Mus musculus: one gene and its partner. The protein of the gene in region 1 interacts with the protein of each later gene in a pairwise test. Links are inferred from orthologs where the notes say so. Each region holds a gene or a part of one and is shown on either strand. Other genes may lie near its edges.

What was found.
Region 2: the proteins of Cdk5rap3 (region 1) and Tspyl4 interact in binary tests that used the Homo sapiens proteins (3 or more experiments, as listed by UniProt). The two-hybrid records come from large-scale screens. The link is inferred for Mus musculus from reciprocal best matches to the Homo sapiens genes CDK5RAP3 and TSPYL4.

What each region holds. Positions count from the first base shown.
Region 1 is NC_000077.6:96,904,313-96,913,005, reverse strand, and holds the end of Cdk5rap3 (CDK5 regulatory subunit-associated protein 3), read left to right. Parts: intron 1-610; coding exon 611-789; intron 790-996; coding exon 997-1,133; intron 1,134-1,309; coding exon 1,310-1,454; intron 1,455-1,824; coding exon 1,825-1,926; intron 1,927-2,267; coding exon 2,268-2,349; intron 2,350-2,976; coding exon 2,977-3,065; intron 3,066-4,086; coding exon 4,087-4,292; intron 4,293-4,604; coding exon 4,605-4,776; intron 4,777-4,883; coding exon 4,884-4,949; 3' UTR 4,950-5,581; downstream 5,582-8,693. UniProt on the Homo sapiens protein: Substrate adapter of E3 ligase complexes mediating ufmylation, the covalent attachment of the ubiquitin-like modifier UFM1 to substrate proteins, and which is involved in various processes, such as ribosome recycling and reticulophagy (also called ER-phagy).
Region 2 is NC_000076.6:34,292,877-34,302,479, forward strand, and holds Tspyl4 (testis-specific Y-encoded-like protein 4), read left to right. Parts: upstream 1-4,544; 5' UTR 4,545-4,637; coding exon 4,638-5,858; 3' UTR 5,859-8,444; downstream 8,445-9,603.

The DNA of each region.
Region 1 (8,693 bases):
GTAAAGTTGCCCTAAAGGGGCCAAGCATCCATGAGGGGGCGGGCACGATGCTGTGGCTCTGAAACAGCCAGCTGATAGAGAGCTTGGAAGGAAGTGGGGTGCGGCGCAGATGTTGCCTGATTGTAGGTGTGAAAAACGGTTTTGCACGTGCTCCATGAGAGGGAGAATCAGGCAGGAAGTGAACCTTCGTGTGCCCTACTGAACAGTCATCTGGCCTGTCTCTCTCCCTTGGGGAGGTAGTGCGTACTGCCCCCACCCTCGCTGTGTGTGGGGGCCATCCTGTGATGTGTGGGCCATATTGGGAGCCTGAGAGGAAGCAACTAATGGTTGATTATAGTTTGGATCATGACTCTGAATAGTAAATAATTGTAATTATTAATGTATACCAAACACTCTGGGTTTTGTTTTATATGGATCCACAGAGAAAACACAATAGTCCCTGTTCGGCAGCTAAAGATTGAAGCAGAGAGGGTACACAACTTGTCTTGGGTCCCATAGCTAGGAATGGAGAGGCTGAGAAGCCAGCCCCCGTCTCCTCCACCATGCTAGGGCATCTGTGTGCACCTCAGGGCAAGGGTATCCTACAGTCAATTTCCTGGGCCTTCCTCAGTGGAACTCTGTAGCCTCCTGGTTCGGAATGTCAGCTATGAGATCCCCTCGCTGAAGAAGCAGATTGCCAAGTGCCAGCAACTGCAGCAAGAATACAGCCGCAAGGAGGAGGAGGGCCAGGCTGGGGCCGCTGAGATGCGAGAGCAATTCTACCACTCCTGCAAACAGTATGGCATCACGGTGAGCAGCACTTCATTGCAGCCAGACAGTCTTGGGACTGGCTCTCTCCGGGCTCAACTCCACTGCAGCTGGCGGGCTTCTTTCTCAGTTGGATTGTGCCCGGCCTGGGTCTCTCTCACCTTCCTACAGTCTTTGAATGTTTTGTTTGACTCGATAGTTTCCATCTCCCACCATGTGTGACCAAACCCTTCCCTTCTCTCAACCTAGGGAGACAATGTCCGAAGAGAACTTCTGGCCCTGGTGAAGGACCTGCCAAGTCAGCTGGCTGAGATAGGGGCAGGGGCTCAGTCCCTGGGGGAGGCCATTGACCTGTACCAGGCCTGTGTGGAGTTTGTGTGTGACAGGTAAGGAGAACTTCTCCACCCTGAGCAAGGGGTGCCTTCCCGGGTCTTTCTGGCTCCTCTCCACTCGGATTATCCCACATGGCACGCCACCTGTGTTGGTAACTCGTGGACCAGTGATTAGGGTGGAGCCTGTGCCGGCTTCCCAAGAGAGGCTCCGTGACCATGCTCTGTTGAAGCCCCACAGAGCAAGTGCTGCCCATGCTGCGGTATGTGCAGAAGAAGGGAAACTCGACGGTGTATGAGTGGAGGACGGGGACAGAGCCCTCTGTGGTGGAGCGACCACAGCTGGAGGAGCCTCCTGAGCAGGTGCAAGAGGATGAGGTAAGACAGGGCCTCTGAGGAGCCGCGTGGGAGCTGTTTCCCATCCACACGGAGCCCGAGCCCTGACCTGACTTCCCATAGTGAAGAGTAAGGGAAGCTGGGTGAGCGAGGCTCGGGTAGGCGGACCCAAAGGCCCTTTGATTTTCCTGGCTTTCCTGAGACCAGAGTGCAGACAAATGGTAGACACCTCAGCCCACTGGCTCCTGCTGACCTGGGGAGTCCTTCGGTGAAACTGCCCTTTCTCGTGGGAGCCTGGAGGTCCGTGCAGTTGACTGCATGACTCTGCACGGCACTGAGACCTAAGAAAGGCAAACTCCTCTCCCTCTCTCTGCCCACCTTGTTTGCACTGACTTATTTTTTTGCTCTTTAGATCGACTGGGGTGACTTTGGGGTGGAAGCTGTTTCCGACTCTGGCATCGTTGCTGAGACTCCTGGAATAGACTGGGGTATCTCCCTGGAGTCAGAGGCCAAGGTTAGAGCTTTCTTTCTAAGCGGTCCTGCTTCAACCATAGAAAAACATCTGTGCGTGGGACCGTTCCCAGTTGTAAGGCCAGGCGCATCCTGAGGGAAACAGAGTCACAGAAGTGAGGCGTTAGCGTAGGCTCTTTTCCCCTGGGACTTGGGGTGTATGAATGCAAGCCCTTGACCAGTCAGGAGGGAGGGTGGCGTCATCAAAGCCCACGCCCTCCGCCATGCTTGCCACTGCATCAGACTGGACGGTGCAGTCACTGAACCCTTCAGGGCCTCTAGTCTGCTCTGGGTCCCTGCACTGGGGAACCGGTTCCAACTTGCTGAGTCTTTGCTGTTCCTCAGGATGCTGGGGCTGACAAGATAGACTGGGGTGACGATGCTGCTGCTGCTTCAGAGATCACCGTGCTGGAGACAGGAACTGAGGGTAGGTGCCCTGTCCCCTACAGTCCTGGAGAATGGAGGAGCCCAAGTTCAAGGGCATCTGTAGCTACAGTGAATTTGAACAACCTGTGAGACCGAGTCTCAAAAACTAAAAGTACATCTTGTTTAGGATGTGAATGGAGAGGGATGGGATCTAAAAACTCCCTGCTTCCCCCCACCCCCCTTTCTTTTTTGAGACAGTATCACTGTAGGCTGGCCTGAAACTCTCTATGTAGACCAGGCTGGCCTCAAACTCACTCCCAGTGTTGGGATTAAAGGCCCACACCACCAATTTCTGTATGTTTTAGAGACTGAATGTGGGCCAGTCATTTTGGTAGATTGTTTAAGAGACTGGTTGGGCTCCAGGTCTGAAGTGGACTCCTCCCTCTCCCAAATCTTCAGAGAGGCTGTAGCAGTCACTTGTGTCACTAGAGGGCAGTGCAGGATGACACTTTACCTGCCTCGCCACCAGCCGCCTCTGGCTCTGCCTGTGCATTTATCGGCCAGACCCAAGTAGAACCGAGAGGTGTGAACAAGGGGGAAAGGCTGGGTAGGGCTGAGAAGAGTCTGTCCACAGTAACCCACAGGCTTCTCAGACCCATCCTCGTGTCTCTGCCTCTCTTTCTGACAGCTCCGGAGGGTGTAGCTCGGGGCTCAGACGCTCTGACTCTTCTGGAATACCCTGAAACTCGGAATCAGTTCATTGATGAGCTCATGGAGGTACTGCCTTCTGGGAGATGTGGCTTCATTTCTGATGCCTCCTGCTGATGGGAGGGAAGGGCCCGGACTGATTTCAGTACCCTGGAGCAGAGCCTAACAAGTTAGGATTCCCCCCAACACCCTTGTTCTTCTCATAGTTATGAGACATCTCTAAAGTTCCTGGCTCCATCTTGGGCAGTAGCAATGGAGCAGTGACAAAGACGTTCAGAGGCCTAGCCTCGGCGGAGCTTGTATTCTAGCGGGAAGAGCAGATAAGAACCGAGTAGCTACATGGCAAACCTCCTGAAAATTCTGTGCCTATCTGGTTTCCTCTACTTTCCCCTTGAAGAGACATTTTGTAGCCATGAGGGGAGAGGGGGACAAAAGATACCCAGTGTTCATAATACAGCAAGATTTGTTTTTTCCTTTTTAAGGCTTGTACTTATTGATTTGTGAGTGCACATATGCACATGTGTACCGCAGCCCACAGGTAGAGATCAAATTGGGACAACTGTAGGTGTCATTACTGTCGCCTTTCACCATGTGGGTTTTGAGGATCAACCCTAAGTTCTCAGGCTTGGCATCAGGCCCTCTAACCAGCCCAAGATGAACTTACTCATAAAGACTACATCTTAGATGTGGCTGCAGCTCATACTCTTTCTAGACTTTGAATCCAAAGTTTCTCAAGCACTCTCATTGCTCCCATGGAGAGAACATTAGTACCTGCCCTAGGAATCTCAGTGTGTTCCCATAGGCTGGAGAAAAGGATGGAGGGCTGGGCTAGGCTAGCACAGGTCAGCATGGGGTCTAGAGGAACAGGGCGGCCACCTGCTCCCGTGTTGTAGGTGTCCATGCCAGAGGTGCTCGCCGAAAGGAGCCCATGCTGTAGGAGCAGGGTCTCCAGCAGTAGAGTGATGCACAGGAGACAGCCTTTCTCCTCTGGACTCTAGCTCTTCACATCAGGGCGGGGGGGGGGTGGGGGGGGGGGGCTCAGCTTCTGAGTTCCTTTCTTGGTCTGAACGAAGTCCCTTTCCCTCCTCAGCTTGAGATCTTCTTGTCTCAGAGAGCAGTAGAGATGAGCGAGGAGGCCGACATCCTGTCCGTGAGCCAGTTCCAGCTGGCTCCTGCCATCCTCCAGGGCCAGACCAAAGAGAAGATGCTCAGCCTGGTGTCCACGCTGCAGCAGCTGATCGGCCGGCTCACCAGTCTGCGGATGCAGCACCTGTTTATGATTCTGGCCTCGCCAAGGTTGGCTTTCCATGATTCCGTGTTTCTCCATCTCGAATGGAGCTTCCTCCCCTTGTCTTCTTCCTCTTCCATGATTCCTCCTTCCTGTGTACATGGCTTTCTCCTGGGAGTAGCGCAGGGTAGGGTTGATTAATGTCTGTAGACAGAACCTGGTTCCTAAGTTGAGAGGAATCTGGAGTGGCTTATATTCCTTACCAGAAAAAGGAGGGAGGCCATGAGGGGAGGGGAGGCCAAGGAGGGAATTAGCTTCCTGAGCCTCACCGGCCCAGCAGTTAAGTGCAGACAGCCTCCCAGGCTTCTCCATCTGCACAGGTATGTGGACCGAGTGACAGAGTTCCTCCAGCAGAAGCTGAAGCAGTCGCAGCTGTTGGCTTTGAAGAAGGAGCTGATGGTGGAGAAGCAGCAGGAGGCGCTTCAGGAGCAGGCAGCTCTGGAGCCCAAGCTGGACCTGCTGCTGGAGAAGACCAGAGAGCTGCAGAAACTGGTGAGCCGTGCCGGGAGCCTGCCCCGGGGGAGAACCCCTCCGCTTCCACAGACCGAGAAACCTGCCGGCCTGTCTGCTCCCTGCCCACTCCGCTCTCTTTCTCTCAGATTGAAGCCGACATCTCCAAGAGATACAGTGGCCGTCCTGTGAACCTGATGGGGACCTCTCTGTGACGCGCTCCCTCTGTGTCCTCCACCCTCCTTCCCAGCTACCAGGAGGAGGTGGGACAGCCCAGGCTGATGCTACTGGGCCTCACCAGCAAGAAGTCAGGCGGACTTGGAGACAGAGCCATGAGGAAGGGTCACACCATGATCTCTGCAAGCAGTTGTCTTGAGTGGCTCTGGCCTGTCAGCCTTAAGGCACACTTGCTGCTTCTAGTTGTCAAGTGAGGCTTAATAAAAGGAAGTGACTCTCCTTCGTGGCTGGCAGTCACTTGCACCACCACGCTGAGCCTGCTTGAAGTTGAAGCTGTGCACATGTTTTCTTAATTCTTGATCCAAGGAGGCCTTGAGCAATTGTAGAGCCCCAGGTTAGAGGCTTTTCTTCCTGGCTTTTGGTGGTACCTGACCCCATAAGCATTTATAAATGGTTCAGCATGTGGTTTGGGGCTGGCCAGTACAGCTTTGCCCCCTTCTGTCACCAGGCTCATGCTGTCCTGCCCCAGTCGGCAGCCCAGGGGGAGCAGTCAGCCTGCCCTGTGAGACCCTGCAGAGGTGTATTTTTCCTCTTAATCACTGCTTACTGGCTAGTCAGGGGGAAATGTGGTTTGGGGAGGCAGGGTCTGATAAACAAGGTGGAGACAAGAGTTGTCACCTTTACTGGCTGCCTGTCCACTTCCTGCCCGTAACTGCCTGCTCTGCGATTGGGTGGGAGCCACCCCAGGATAACACCCCTCTCCCGTGGGACCCACCCCAGGATAGCACCCCTCTCCCAAGCCACCTACCCATCCCTGTTTCCCAGGAAGGATAGGGGCTGGGGGTGGCCAGCAATTCGATTTTAATTTCATAGCAGAGCAGTTGATTCATGGCTCTTTGTCGCTGGCGTTGACTCCCGTAATGACTTTCCATCACAATGAAAAGTGGAGTGACACCACTCATTATTCCTGCTGCTTGTTATCTCAGTCTGGGGAGGGCCACCCCTCCCCGCTGCCTCTCAGCCGTCCAGGACAGTGAGTGATGGCCCCTATTAATCACCGACCCCGCGGACTCCGGCGGACACACGCTATCCAAAGGAGAGAGAGATAAGGCCACATGAACTGCTCAGAGACACTCCTATCGATTAATGTCAGCCCACCGCTTCCCCCCCAACCCCTGCCTGGTCACCTCCTTTTGGAGGAATCAAGCTGAAGTTAGAAGCCTAAGAGCTGAGAGAAAAGATACTGGTGTCAGAAGACCGTCCTAAAGATAGAAGGGCCTAGGGTGGTGTGGCTGGGCTGTATCCTGTCTGCAGCTGCTCCGAGGCCTGGACAGCTGTCTGCTCCTCTTGGTTCCCTTCCTGAAGTCTGAGCATGTCCCAGCCACCTCCCTCCCAAGTGGTCATCTTCTCCAAGGGCTGCCTGGCTAGCCTCCTGCATCAGCTATCAGCTCGCTGAGGCATGCTATCCTTGTCCAGCCTAGTCACCAGCTGTTACAGACACCACCGCGTACAAGACCCAGGCAGTAGGGAGAAGCCCAGGGAATCATGTGATTGCACCAGGCTGGATTTGGCTTGGAGGCTCCTGTTCCTGCCAGACATGAACACCTGACCTCCCACAAGGTTCCAGTGCCCCAGGAAGGGAAGCAGTATAGGTCAAAGGGACTTTGAGCAGATGAGAACACTGTGGCAAGCAGAGGGGTTTGGGTAAGTGTTCTCAGAGGGACCGGGCCTGTTTTATAAGCTGTCCCTGAGGCCCAGGCTGAGGTAGATGGTTTCCTTCAGGCCCTTAACTGTACTGGGGTGGTTCTTCAAAACTCTGCTTGCTTTGCCTTTGGCTCCAACACCTGTGGGCCACCCCTCTGGTTGTACCAGAGACACTGAAGCCCACCTGGTGTGGGCTATGGGAACAGTTCTGATTGATTTGGGGGTCAGCTTCTGAGCCCCTTTAACTTCATTCTGGAACATTTTTGGTCCACGACCCTTTCCCTCAGTGCCACAGCGTTGACCTAAGGGTTAATGAGCTGAGCAGACAGCACCCTCAGTGTAGCACCACGGCACCCCCAAGGCCTCTTCTTCCTGGCCTGAGAAACCAGGGCTCCTTGCAGAACTGAAGACCCAGTTCCCAGCAGTCAGCTGTCAGAGTTCTAAAAGCCATTCAGGGAAAGAGAGGCCACAGGCCAAGCTCCATCCTTAGCAGTCTTCGTCTTAGTTTGATGTGAGTCCGTAGCCAAGGGCATAGCAGGGATTGATGTTCACTTCTCTCCTGCTGCCTCTGCCCAACCCCATCTCCCTGATTCCTGTAAGGAAACCGGGACTCCCTTTCCCAAAACCCATTGTTTGGATACCTGCTGGCTGACTGAGCATGGGCTAAGTGGAATGCTAAAGACTGTCCATCAGCCCAGCCTGTGCACCCCTCTCCCCTGGGCCCACTGAGGGCTCATCAGGGGCGTGTGGGTCCTGAATAAGTAGAACCCACTTGTTTTCTCTGCCAGGGCAGGGCTGCAACAATCTGCATGATTCACACCAAACACAAGCACACTCCTCCACAGTAGCGGCCTAGAGTCCAGGACAAAAGAAGAGCACACCCAGCTTGTGGGAGAGAGCCTGGGTCTGCGGCCCTGACCACTACATGCACGCAGCCGACACCCCCAGATGTTGCTGTGACTCTGCCTTTTCATACGCTCCTCTCTGTCTTGTTGCTAATGTGTATTTCATCTTTTGACCACCACTTCTATATTCTCTTCCCCACTCTAGCACAAGAATATTTAATCTAATAATGGGAAACACTGGGAGACAGCGCTTGTGATATAGCCTTTACGTATGTGCAGAAGACCCAGGGTTCTATCTAAGTTCCAAAACTCCCATGAATTGAATATGCAGCACATGCCAATGATACTTGGGTGGCACTTAGGAGGTGGAGACAGAAGGATTGGAAGTTCAAGGTAATCGTTGGCATCCCTGGCTATAGAGAAAGTCTGAGATCAGCCTGGGCTACTTGAGACCCCGTCTTAGAAAACAAAACTATAATGATAGCAAAAACAATGCAGTGTGGTTGTGGGCTCTGCACTGCCTGGCTGTAGTCCTGGTGGTGCCGCTTGTGTGACCTGAGACCCAAATGTCAAATGTGTAAGAGTGGCATAGGCTGGAAATACCCCAGAGCAGTGGTTCTCAACAACCCCCCCACCCCAGCCATACAATTTTTGTTGTTGCTAATTCACAACAGTAATTCCCCTACTGTTATGAATAATAATGTAAATATCTGATGGTGACCTGTGACCTCTGTGGAAGGGCCATGCAACCCCCACATAGGGGGTCACAACCCACAGATTGAGAACCACTGACTTAGACTAAAACTGGTGGTGACTTGTGTCCTGTCTTGGTCTCACATTTCCATGATAGGCCAGTGCCCCACCTAAACCCATTATCCACAGCCGTACTCCATCTCTGGATTCCCTGTCTGTTGGTTTCTCCTCTGAAGTTCCCCTCTTCTTCTTCCATCTCTTCTTCTTCTTCTTCTTCTTCTTCCTCCCTCCTCCCTCCTCCCTCCTCCCTCCTCCCTCCTCCCTCCTCCCTCCTCCCTCCTCCCTCCTCCCTCCTCCCTCCTCCCTCCTCCCTCCTCCCTCCTCCCTCCTCCCTCCTCCCTCCTCCCTCCTCCCTCCTCCCTCCTTTTTTTTTTTTTTTTCAAGACAGGGTTTCTCTGTGTAGCCCTGGCTGTCCTGGAATTCACTTTGTAGACCAGGCTGGCCTCGAACTCAGAAATCCACCTGCCTCTGCCTCCCGAG
Region 2 (9,603 bases), on another chromosome or scaffold:
GGTCTACAAAGTGAGTTCCAGGATAGCCAGTCAAGTTTTTCCTTGGTTTCTTTTAACGTTACATAAAGTGAGTGCTTTTCTTTGTTTTTAATGAAAAATATTGCAGGAAACCATCATAACTAAACATGCCTATGAAAACATTTTCATTTTTCATACTTATAGGCTAAGTAGGATAAAGACTATATAATTCAGTCCTCATGGTAGAGTACTGAATTTATGCTGAAAAAATTCTGCCACAGTTATTTCAGTGAACTTACGATCTAAAATTGTCATAAATATTTTCTTCAGTATAGAGAAAACTATACATCAAGTGCTGACACAGATTTTTTTTTTTTTTAACAAATGGTAAGTTTGGAAATCTTCTTTTTTCTTTTAAAAATTTATTTATTCATTTATTATATGTAACTACACTGTAGCTGTCTTCAGACACTGCAGAAGAGGGTGTCAGATCTCATTACAGATGGTTGTGAGCCACCATGTGGGTGCTGGGATTTGAACTCAGGACCTTTGGAAGAGCAGTCAGTGCTCTTAACTGCTGAGCCATCTCTCCAGCCCGCTGATACAGATTTTAAATATTATCTTAGAGGCTGCTTCCTCTCTCCTAGGGACCAGGAATAGAAATACTTTATGTATACATTTTAAACAAACAAGATGGGCCCTGGTGGTACACCTTTAATCCCAGCATGCAGAAGGCAGAATTCAAGGACAGCATGGTCTACAGAGTGAGTTCCAGGATAGCCAGGGCTCCATAGAGAAACCCTGTCTGGAAAAACAAAACAAAACAAAAACACAAAACACATAAACAAACCCAACCAACCAAACAAAAACCAACAAAACAAAACCAATAAAACAGAAAACCAAAATCAGTGTATGTATGTACTATTTCTTAGTTGTGAGACTAATTATGGTTATTACAGTTAGTGTGTGTGGGCATTTATAGGAGCCCAAGGGATGGTTGTCATTGGGACAATTAACTTCTATAAAATAATTGTCCAGTGCTAAGCCTTTACAGTGATGAAACTTTTTAGACACAGCACTTACCACTCTTTCACAGTGAAGACAATATATGCCTCATTGAGAAGGTAATTTTCTGTTTTGTCTGTCCTAACACCATCCATGGTGCAACTGGTGAGACACACCACCAGTTTATACCATGAAAGCTATTGAGCCTACGTGCAAAACTTTCTCACTCTGACTCTCAGAATTTTAATTTTATAGTTGACTGATTTTTAGGTTTTAAAGGTTTTTTTTTGTTTTTTTTGTTTTTGTTTGTTTGTTTGTTTGTTTGTTTTTTAGTTGGCTGGCCATGGTGAGCACTCTTGGAAGGCAGATCAAGAAGATCATGTTTATATTCAGCTACACAGCAAGTTTAAGACCAATCTAAAGGAAATGACACAGTGCCTGTTTCAAAGGAAAAATGTATGTGACTTATCATGTATTTCCCATGGACATGTATGAAAGCCATAAGTAAAATAAAAGTAGTTTCATTATTACAATTAATTCCCAATTAGAATAACCTTAATCGTAGTTAGAATGATAATTCTAAGTGTTTATGTTTCCTCAAACAGTATTGTTCTCTCTTTGTATCTTGAATAATTTTTGAAATATCTCCTTTCTTCCTTCCTTCCTTCCTTCCTTCCTTCCTTCCTTCCTTCCTTCCTTTTTTATATTTGAGATAGGGCCTTACTGTGTTGCTCTGATGGGTTTAGAAATCGCTATGTAGACTGGGCTGGTTTCAAACCTGTAGCAATCCTGCCTCCACCTCTGCCTCTCAAGTTCAGGTATGCATGACTATCCGATAATAAAAAATGTTTTTTTTTAAAGCGTCTAAACATTGTCATTCTTAAAAGATGTCCGAATGTTTAATGAAAGTATTGTTCTAAAATATCATGTTTCCCAAATTACTACACTCCTGCAAGGTTGATTCTGGAGCTCTCTTGCTCTAGCCAGATGCCAGCAGAAAGCATCCAGAGGACACATAATAACCACTTTCCTCTCTCACATAGTTTTTAAGAGTTTGGTGATTGAAATGTCAAGAGGCTGCATCTGTCTAATTATGATACTGAGACTAATAACCAAATTCACAATATGCCCACACAGTGACAACTACATTGTGAGTGCTAGTCTTATGACAACAGTTGCAAGGTTTCATTGATTGTGTCATAAACAGTCATTTTAGAGATGCTAAAATAAAACTAAATGTGCCTTAGAATTGAGGAATATGGACTATGTAAATTGTTGAAATCTAATATATACACAGAATTTTACTGTGACATTGCTCTTCGTTTTAGTAAACCCCACTAATGTCTCTAGTATCATACATGTGATTCTGGTGGTAACAATAACTCCATACATTGCTGATTCCATATGTATAACCATCTAACTACCGATCATGCCACAGCATCTATATTTTGAAAGAGATTTAAAATTATTCTTTCATTTATCTTTAAACTACTACAATGATCTTACATTGATGAAAAATTACACTTAAAAAAAAAGACATGGGAATGGAGGTGTACACCTTTATCTAGTATTTTGGAGACAGAGGCAGGTAGATCTGAGCTTAAGGTCAGCTTGGTCGCCATCGTGAGTTCCAGGACAGCCAGAGCTACAAAGAGAGTCACAGCCTCCCTTCCCCTCTCCCCCATCTCCTGTCTCCCCTCTCTCTACCCCACCTCTACAATATAATATACTGAATTTCAAGAAAGAAAAATAGTCATAATATAAATTATTATATAATAAAATAAATGTAATGTAGACAGAGGTGTTTCCAGCAGTAGAAAACAAATCTTTAAACACTGATATATACAAGAGAAAGAAGTCCACATGTGATTTTCTCATTTCTTATGAAGTGATGTAATAGCAAGCTGTTTTCTTTCTCCTGCATTGCCCAGTATTTTGGTTCAGCATTTGATGATTCTCTGCATCTTGGTTTAGGCTAAATTCAAGAGTGTTTGCTACTCTTTCAACTGTGTGAAGAGTCATTAGGTAAAGAAGTGGTGTAATGTTAAAGAATAACTCAGAAGTCACAGAGTGTATTATAGCAGTGTTTATGTGTTTACATAGGAAGTTAGCGATACATTTATTTCACCTCAGTAAGGCAAAAAGAATATTTGTTAAGAGAAAAAGGAAAGGGGGACAGAAAAAGAATTGGTATTTGTGTGTACATTTTAATTTTATTTAGATAATCAATTGATTTTCCTTTTTTTCTTTCCTTTTTTGGGAGATAGGGCTAGGAAGAGGCAGGCCAGCCTGGACAACTGTCTTTGAGTGAGAACACTCACCTTTGGCATAGAAAGAAAGAAAAAAATCAAGCTGCATGATATGCCATGTGTTGTTCTCACCACCTCAGAGTCTTAGGCGAACCAGGAGCCATTATTTCCCTCATTAGAGTTCTTAGGGTAATGTTTTTTGTTTTTGTTTTTTTTCTTTAAACCCCTATTCAAAGACTCTTACTGTAGTGTAACCATATTCTGGGAGGAATCAATTTCCCAGGGCAAAGAACTCTAAAGCTTTGTTCTAATAGAAATTCAAACATTAAATATGCAAAATTTAAGTTTCTGTTTTTTTCTATCCCTTAAGGATTAACATCCGAATTCTCAGACTTTAGCAAACTGAGAGACCGTGGTGATTAAATACATAAATAGCTTTTATTTATTTAAATAAATGATTGAGTAAATAAATAAATACATTTTCTAAATTGACTTGAATGAATGACCCTTCTTTTTTAAAGTAGATTATTTTAAAGACACAGTTGCTTAAGTGTGTGAAAAACCCTGATTGATTCTACCTTCACAAAGGCAAATTTGGGCAAATGTTAGTTGGCTCCATACCCACAGGCATGAAGCAGAACCTAAGATCATAAACCAAGGCAAAGGAGGATTAATGTGTATCGTTTTAGAAATTGAATCCTCTGAGGTTACATTTCCTTCACTAATTCTCAGGGGCTAACTGTGTATATGGCATGCGTTGTGGCCACCTGTAAATAAGGCGCGGTTTACTATTTATTTAAAAGTGAAGAAATATCCAATTGCTTTGTAAATGTCGGCCAATGTATACAAACATCAAAATCTCTGCAGAAATCGAAATTAACCTTAGGAATGTCTTGTTTGCTTGAAAGTAAAAACAACGACGACACTTTTTGCCCCCTAAATCTGATTCTGCGCAGCTCCTCAGTAGCCGCTATGAATCGAATCTGTGTCCGAAATAAGGAGGGCCTGTGAGCTGGTGAATTCGCTTCTCTATTCCTGGGAAGCATGAATAAAATCTGACTTTATTAGACAATAGGTTCTATTTTAAAATTTATTTTGAGACATGGTTTAGATACTGTCGAAATTAATTAGAGACTTACGAATAGACGTAAAATATAATTCGACATCCATTTATGTACTCAATTTCCCAGATGAGATTAAATTTACAGCATCATTTAAAAAGACAAAAAGAACACACTTGATCGACAAAATTACCTGGATTGCCAGTTCTCGCGCTACGGTTAGTTGCAGCTGGTATCCTGACGTCACAGGTTGCCATGGTAGCACCAGCCCAGAAGGAAAAGGGGTGGAGCTAAGCACTCACTGCGGTTTTGCGCTGCGTCTGCAGAGGACAAGGAAAGCTCTGCAGGGCTGTCAGCTGCCAAAATGAACGGCGTGGAAGGGAACAACGAGCTATCTCTCGCTAACACCACGACCCCCTCCCATGCCTCCGAAGATCTGGATCTGAAGCAGGACCAGGGGCTCCAAGAGGAAACCGACACAGTGCGGGAGATGGAGGCTGCAGGTGAGGCCGGTGCGGATGGAGGCGCGTCTCCGGATTCCGAGCACTGCGGCCCCGAGCTCTGCTTCCGAGTGGCTGAGAATAGTTGTGCTGCGGCAGCGAGAGGTCTGGAGGATGCTCCGTCTCCATCAAAGGGCGGGGACGCACCCTCAGCCCCTGTGGCAGCCGACGACAGCAGTAAAAATGGCTGTCAGCTTGAAGGGCCTCACAGCCCTGCTAAACCGAAAGCCCTGGAAGCCTGTGGTGCGGTGGGCCTGGGGTCTCAGCAGATGCCGGGGCCGAAGAAGACCAAGGAAATGACGACTACCAAGTGCGCCATCTCTGTGGCCACCGGCAAGGAGGGAGAAGCAGGAGCGGCAATGCAGGAAAAGAAGGGGTTACAGAAGGAAAAAAAGGTAGCTGGAGGAGGGAAAGAGGAGACTCGACCCAGAGCTCCGAAGATCAATTGCATGGACTCGCTGGAGGCCATCGATCAAGAGCTGTCAAATGTAAATGCGCAGGCTGACAGGGCCTTCCTCCAGCTGGAACGCAAATTTGGGCGGATGAGAAGGCTCCACATGCAGCGCAGAAGTTTCATCATCCAAAACATCCCAGGTTTCTGGGTCACCGCTTTTCGGAACCACCCCCAGCTGTCACCAATGATTAGTGGCCAAGATGAAGACATGATGAGGTACATGATCAATTTAGAGGTGGAGGAGCTTAAGCAGCCAAGAGTAGGGTGCAAATTTAAGTTCATCTTTCAAAGCAACCCCTACTTTCGAAATGAGGGGCTGGTCAAAGAATATGAGCGCAGATCCTCAGGTCGAGTGGTGTCACTCTCTACGCCAATCCGCTGGCACCGGGGTCAGGAACCCCAGGCCCACATCCACAGGAATAGGGAGGGGAACACGATTCCCAGTTTCTTCAACTGGTTCTCAGACCACAGCCTCCTAGAATTCGACAGAATAGCTGAAATTATCAAAGGGGAGCTGTGGTCCAATCCCCTACAATACTATCTGATGGGCGATGGGCCACGCCGTGGAGTTCGAGTCCCACCAAGGCAGCCAGTGGAGAGTCCCAGGTCCTTCAGGTTCCAGTCTGGCTAAGCTCTGCCCTCGTGAGAAGCTCTTGCAGAGGAGTCCTTACCACCTCCTCAGCTTGGCCAGCAGCATGCAGCCTTCTGTCTGCTTTCTCTTCCTGTTGGATTGTGTTCATTGGTTCTTCTAAGTCTCCAGTAGTTTCAAGATTGTGGCTTTCAAGTCTTTGCTCTTCTTTCTCTGGGCCATCACGATGTTCTGCATATATATATATAATGGTGTTCCAAGTGCATGGCCTTCAAACTGCTTCTATGCCAAGTCACGTGCTGTAGTCTGTACTTCGTTCTTTGCATGGCTTGGTCCCTGTCTGTGACATGATCTTTTTTTCATTTTTTTTTTTAAGTGGTTCTCTGCCACAAGAAAGCTTGACACATTCTTACCAAGAACTAGCCAGGCTTCATACTTTCTGCTGTGTTCCCGATATCTATGTACTGTGAAGAACCGTGAGTTTCACCACTGCAAGATGGAACTGTACCCCAACCCAGCCATTAGCCCAACAGGACATTCCAGGCTATTGCCAACTGATCCTAGCTGTCTTCCTGGGCCTTTGCCTTTTACCCTGCTTGTTATCTCTACAACAAGCAGGTGGCTGGTGGGTATGAGTGAAGTAACAGGCGAGGAATGTTTTCTGTCACCTCATTGGTCTTGTACCGTTGGTTGCTGTGCATTGTGATCAGCTACTGGTGAGTATGGAAGCTTGTGCAATTGCCCACTAGTTCTCTCCTGGTTGAGCTTTGCACAGGCCCAAGTGGTTCCTCAGGAACTATCTAAGGACCTAAGTTCCTAGGCAGCACACAGATACCCCCTGCTGTACCAGTTCCCATGGCTCAATTAGCTGCTGGGCAGGATCTGTAGTCTCACGTGGCAGTGCCCAAAGCAAAGCTGAAGTGGCTCCCTTCCAGTGGTTAGTTCTGAGCCCTAACCAACAAATTATTCCTTATCCAGGCACCTTTGATAGGTAACTACTCCTCTTCCTGTGTTCACACCCACTCTGGTTAAGTCAAAGTTGCCTAGGTTTGGGTAGTTAGAAATTGTTTGTGGCCCACAGGCCTTGCTATACCTTTTTCTCTTTGGCTCTTCTCTTTTCACCTCCCCCCAACCCCTTTTCTTTTTAAGGCAGTTACAGCCCAGAGACAGAAAAAACAAAAGACAGCAGGCTTTTTATTTGCTCTCCCCTTGGTTGTATGCAGGCTGGGAAAGGTACTGTAAAGTAGACTCCAAATCTCTCACTGCCCTGACTATTCCACCCTTCTCATAGCAAGGGAGACCACCTCCACTCTTCCCTCCATTCTACTAGGTGCTGTGTCTTTAAGCTCTAGTTTGGGAATCTGAGAGAAGAGAAAGAAGAGTCTCAATGACAGACCCTGTGCCTGCCCTGAGCAGTCTGTGAATGAATGCACCTAGCCCACGTTTCTAAAGGACAGCAGTTCTTTTGTGGGCCTCAGCCTGTAGAAATGACCAGAGAGCAACAATGTGCGACATCTTTGTTGTTTGCCTGATCTTGGCCCTTACCTGTCAGGTTTTGAATGTCCTTCCATGTTTCCATCCTAACAAAGAAGGAAGCAGGCTGTAGAGTGCATTGTGGGAGGGAGACCCCAAGCCTCTTCTCAGGGATGTGGGGATGTGAGGGGTCTGGATTTGCAGGACATGCTCCATTGAATTTGCAACAGCGCTGTTGTGGCTTCTGCCGCTGCAGCCCTCAGGCATTCCCTTTCTGATTGAAAGACCTTGTTGAAAGCTTCTCCAAAGCTCGTAGGTCTGGATACCTTCGTTGGAGGCTGGGAATTTTAAGAGGAGGACTAGAGGGAAGAGCCTGTTGCAGAGTGAGTTTTTCTAGGTCTGCTGAGATGATTGACACATGGAGGGAGCAGGGTTGGGGGCAGGGGTCCCTGAAGCACATTCCAGTGCAAGGAGGTGGGGGAAGGGATCAAGTGGGTTGGGATTTAAAAAGAGACGCTTGGAGGATATTCCTTAGTTTGTTCTAATTTTCAACTCCACCAGTAGATGTTAGTAAACAGATGTAAGTCTGAGTGAGCCTTGCCTGGGGAGATCAATGGTGTGCACTCCTCATTCCACTGCGCTCGATCCTAGTCCCCCCTGTCAGCTCACTGGCAGGATTGATGTTTACAAGCCTGCCTTTTACTGATCATTGAGAACAAGTGCAAACATTTGAATTTCTGTCAGTTGCAGTATGAAGACTCCTGGGAACACTCACTACTAGATTAACTTGTTCTGGTGTCTCTTCATGTATAGCTGTATTCTTAGAAGTTCAATCCGCACAATGATCTCTGAAGTCTGAAGACTTTTTGAAAACTGTTGCTATGTCTTGTAAAAGTGGTTTCCAAAAGACAAATGTAACTGTCCTACTGATATTTCTTGCTGTAGTAAGTAAGTAACACTTGGCATTATCTTCTTAACCCGTGTAAGGACTAGAACTGCTATCAACTAAACGAGGATATTAGTCCTTTGTCTTCTCCTGTGTGCTCAAAGGAAAGATAATGTTACTGTTATATTTCTCGTCTGCACCAAAAATAAATAAATAAATAATAAATAAATAAATAAACAAACAAATAAATAAATGTGAATAAAAAGCTCTATGCTGTCTGGGTGAATGTACAGTTGGGCAATGATGAAGCATTTCACTTTTATTCACAGAACAACATGAACTGAGCAGACCAAAAATGATTCTTTTTTCCTTTTTAGCCAGCAGATGAGAGACTATCTGAACTGGTTTTGAGGCTGCACAGAGAGTAACTAGGGGAGTTGGGTGTGGTGGTACAACCTGTGACTCCAGCTCTTGGGGGCCGAGGGAGGAGGAGCTGGAGTTCAAAGCCAGCCTGGGCTCTAAAGCAATGCACAGGCAGCTGAGCTATGCACAAGGTATACAATAAATATGTACATACATAGCATAAATCTTATATAAGGACTGTATCAAAGGTAGGAAGGAAATTAGGATCTGAAATGGAGGAAGAAAAACAAATGCAAGGGAATGGAGCAGGCCCAGGGCTGCAGGAACGAACCAGCTGTTTTCACAAGTGACATCAGGGTCTAATTTCCAAAGATAAAGCAGAACGACGCCATGTTAACCTGCGGCAAGTGAGTGGCGCTGTCTCCTCAGAAGGACAATACCTTTGTCAGATTAAAGCTGAAAATAAAGGGAATGGTGGCACATTCCGACTACCTCTAGGACAGGAAAAAGGCAGAGACCACCAGAGATGGTCCACTTGCAAAAGAAAGCAGGGTTTCTCTCACATCTCTGGGACCAGAAGTAATTATAGTCAGCACGACCTGCCTCAGACTACCCAGTTACTTAACAGAAATTTTTGATTTAACAGAAAATTTGGTACATTTGCTTACTTGACTAAAAATATTTGGTTCTTCATTTTCCTGAACAATATAGCATCCATACCTTAATACCGGTAATGTATTAAGGTATGGATGAGAAAACTCTTTCTTGAAACTCAAGTTGTGCAATATTTTAGGTGTTTAGATATTATTTCAGTCACAGACTTGTATTTTGAGTATTCCTGTTAACTAGTTTGTCTTTCAAGACAGGGTGTCACCAGGTGTGTAGCCCAGGCAGATCTCCAACTCTTGATCCTCCTGCTTCTAGCTCCCTAAGTGCCAGTATTACAGGTATGTACATCTGACTACTCCTTTCAAAGCACCACACTGTTGCAGGACATAAAGCAGCACTCACAGATTCCACGATGTTTGTTTCGGAAGGCTATTTTAAGCCCCTTAAGAAAAAGAC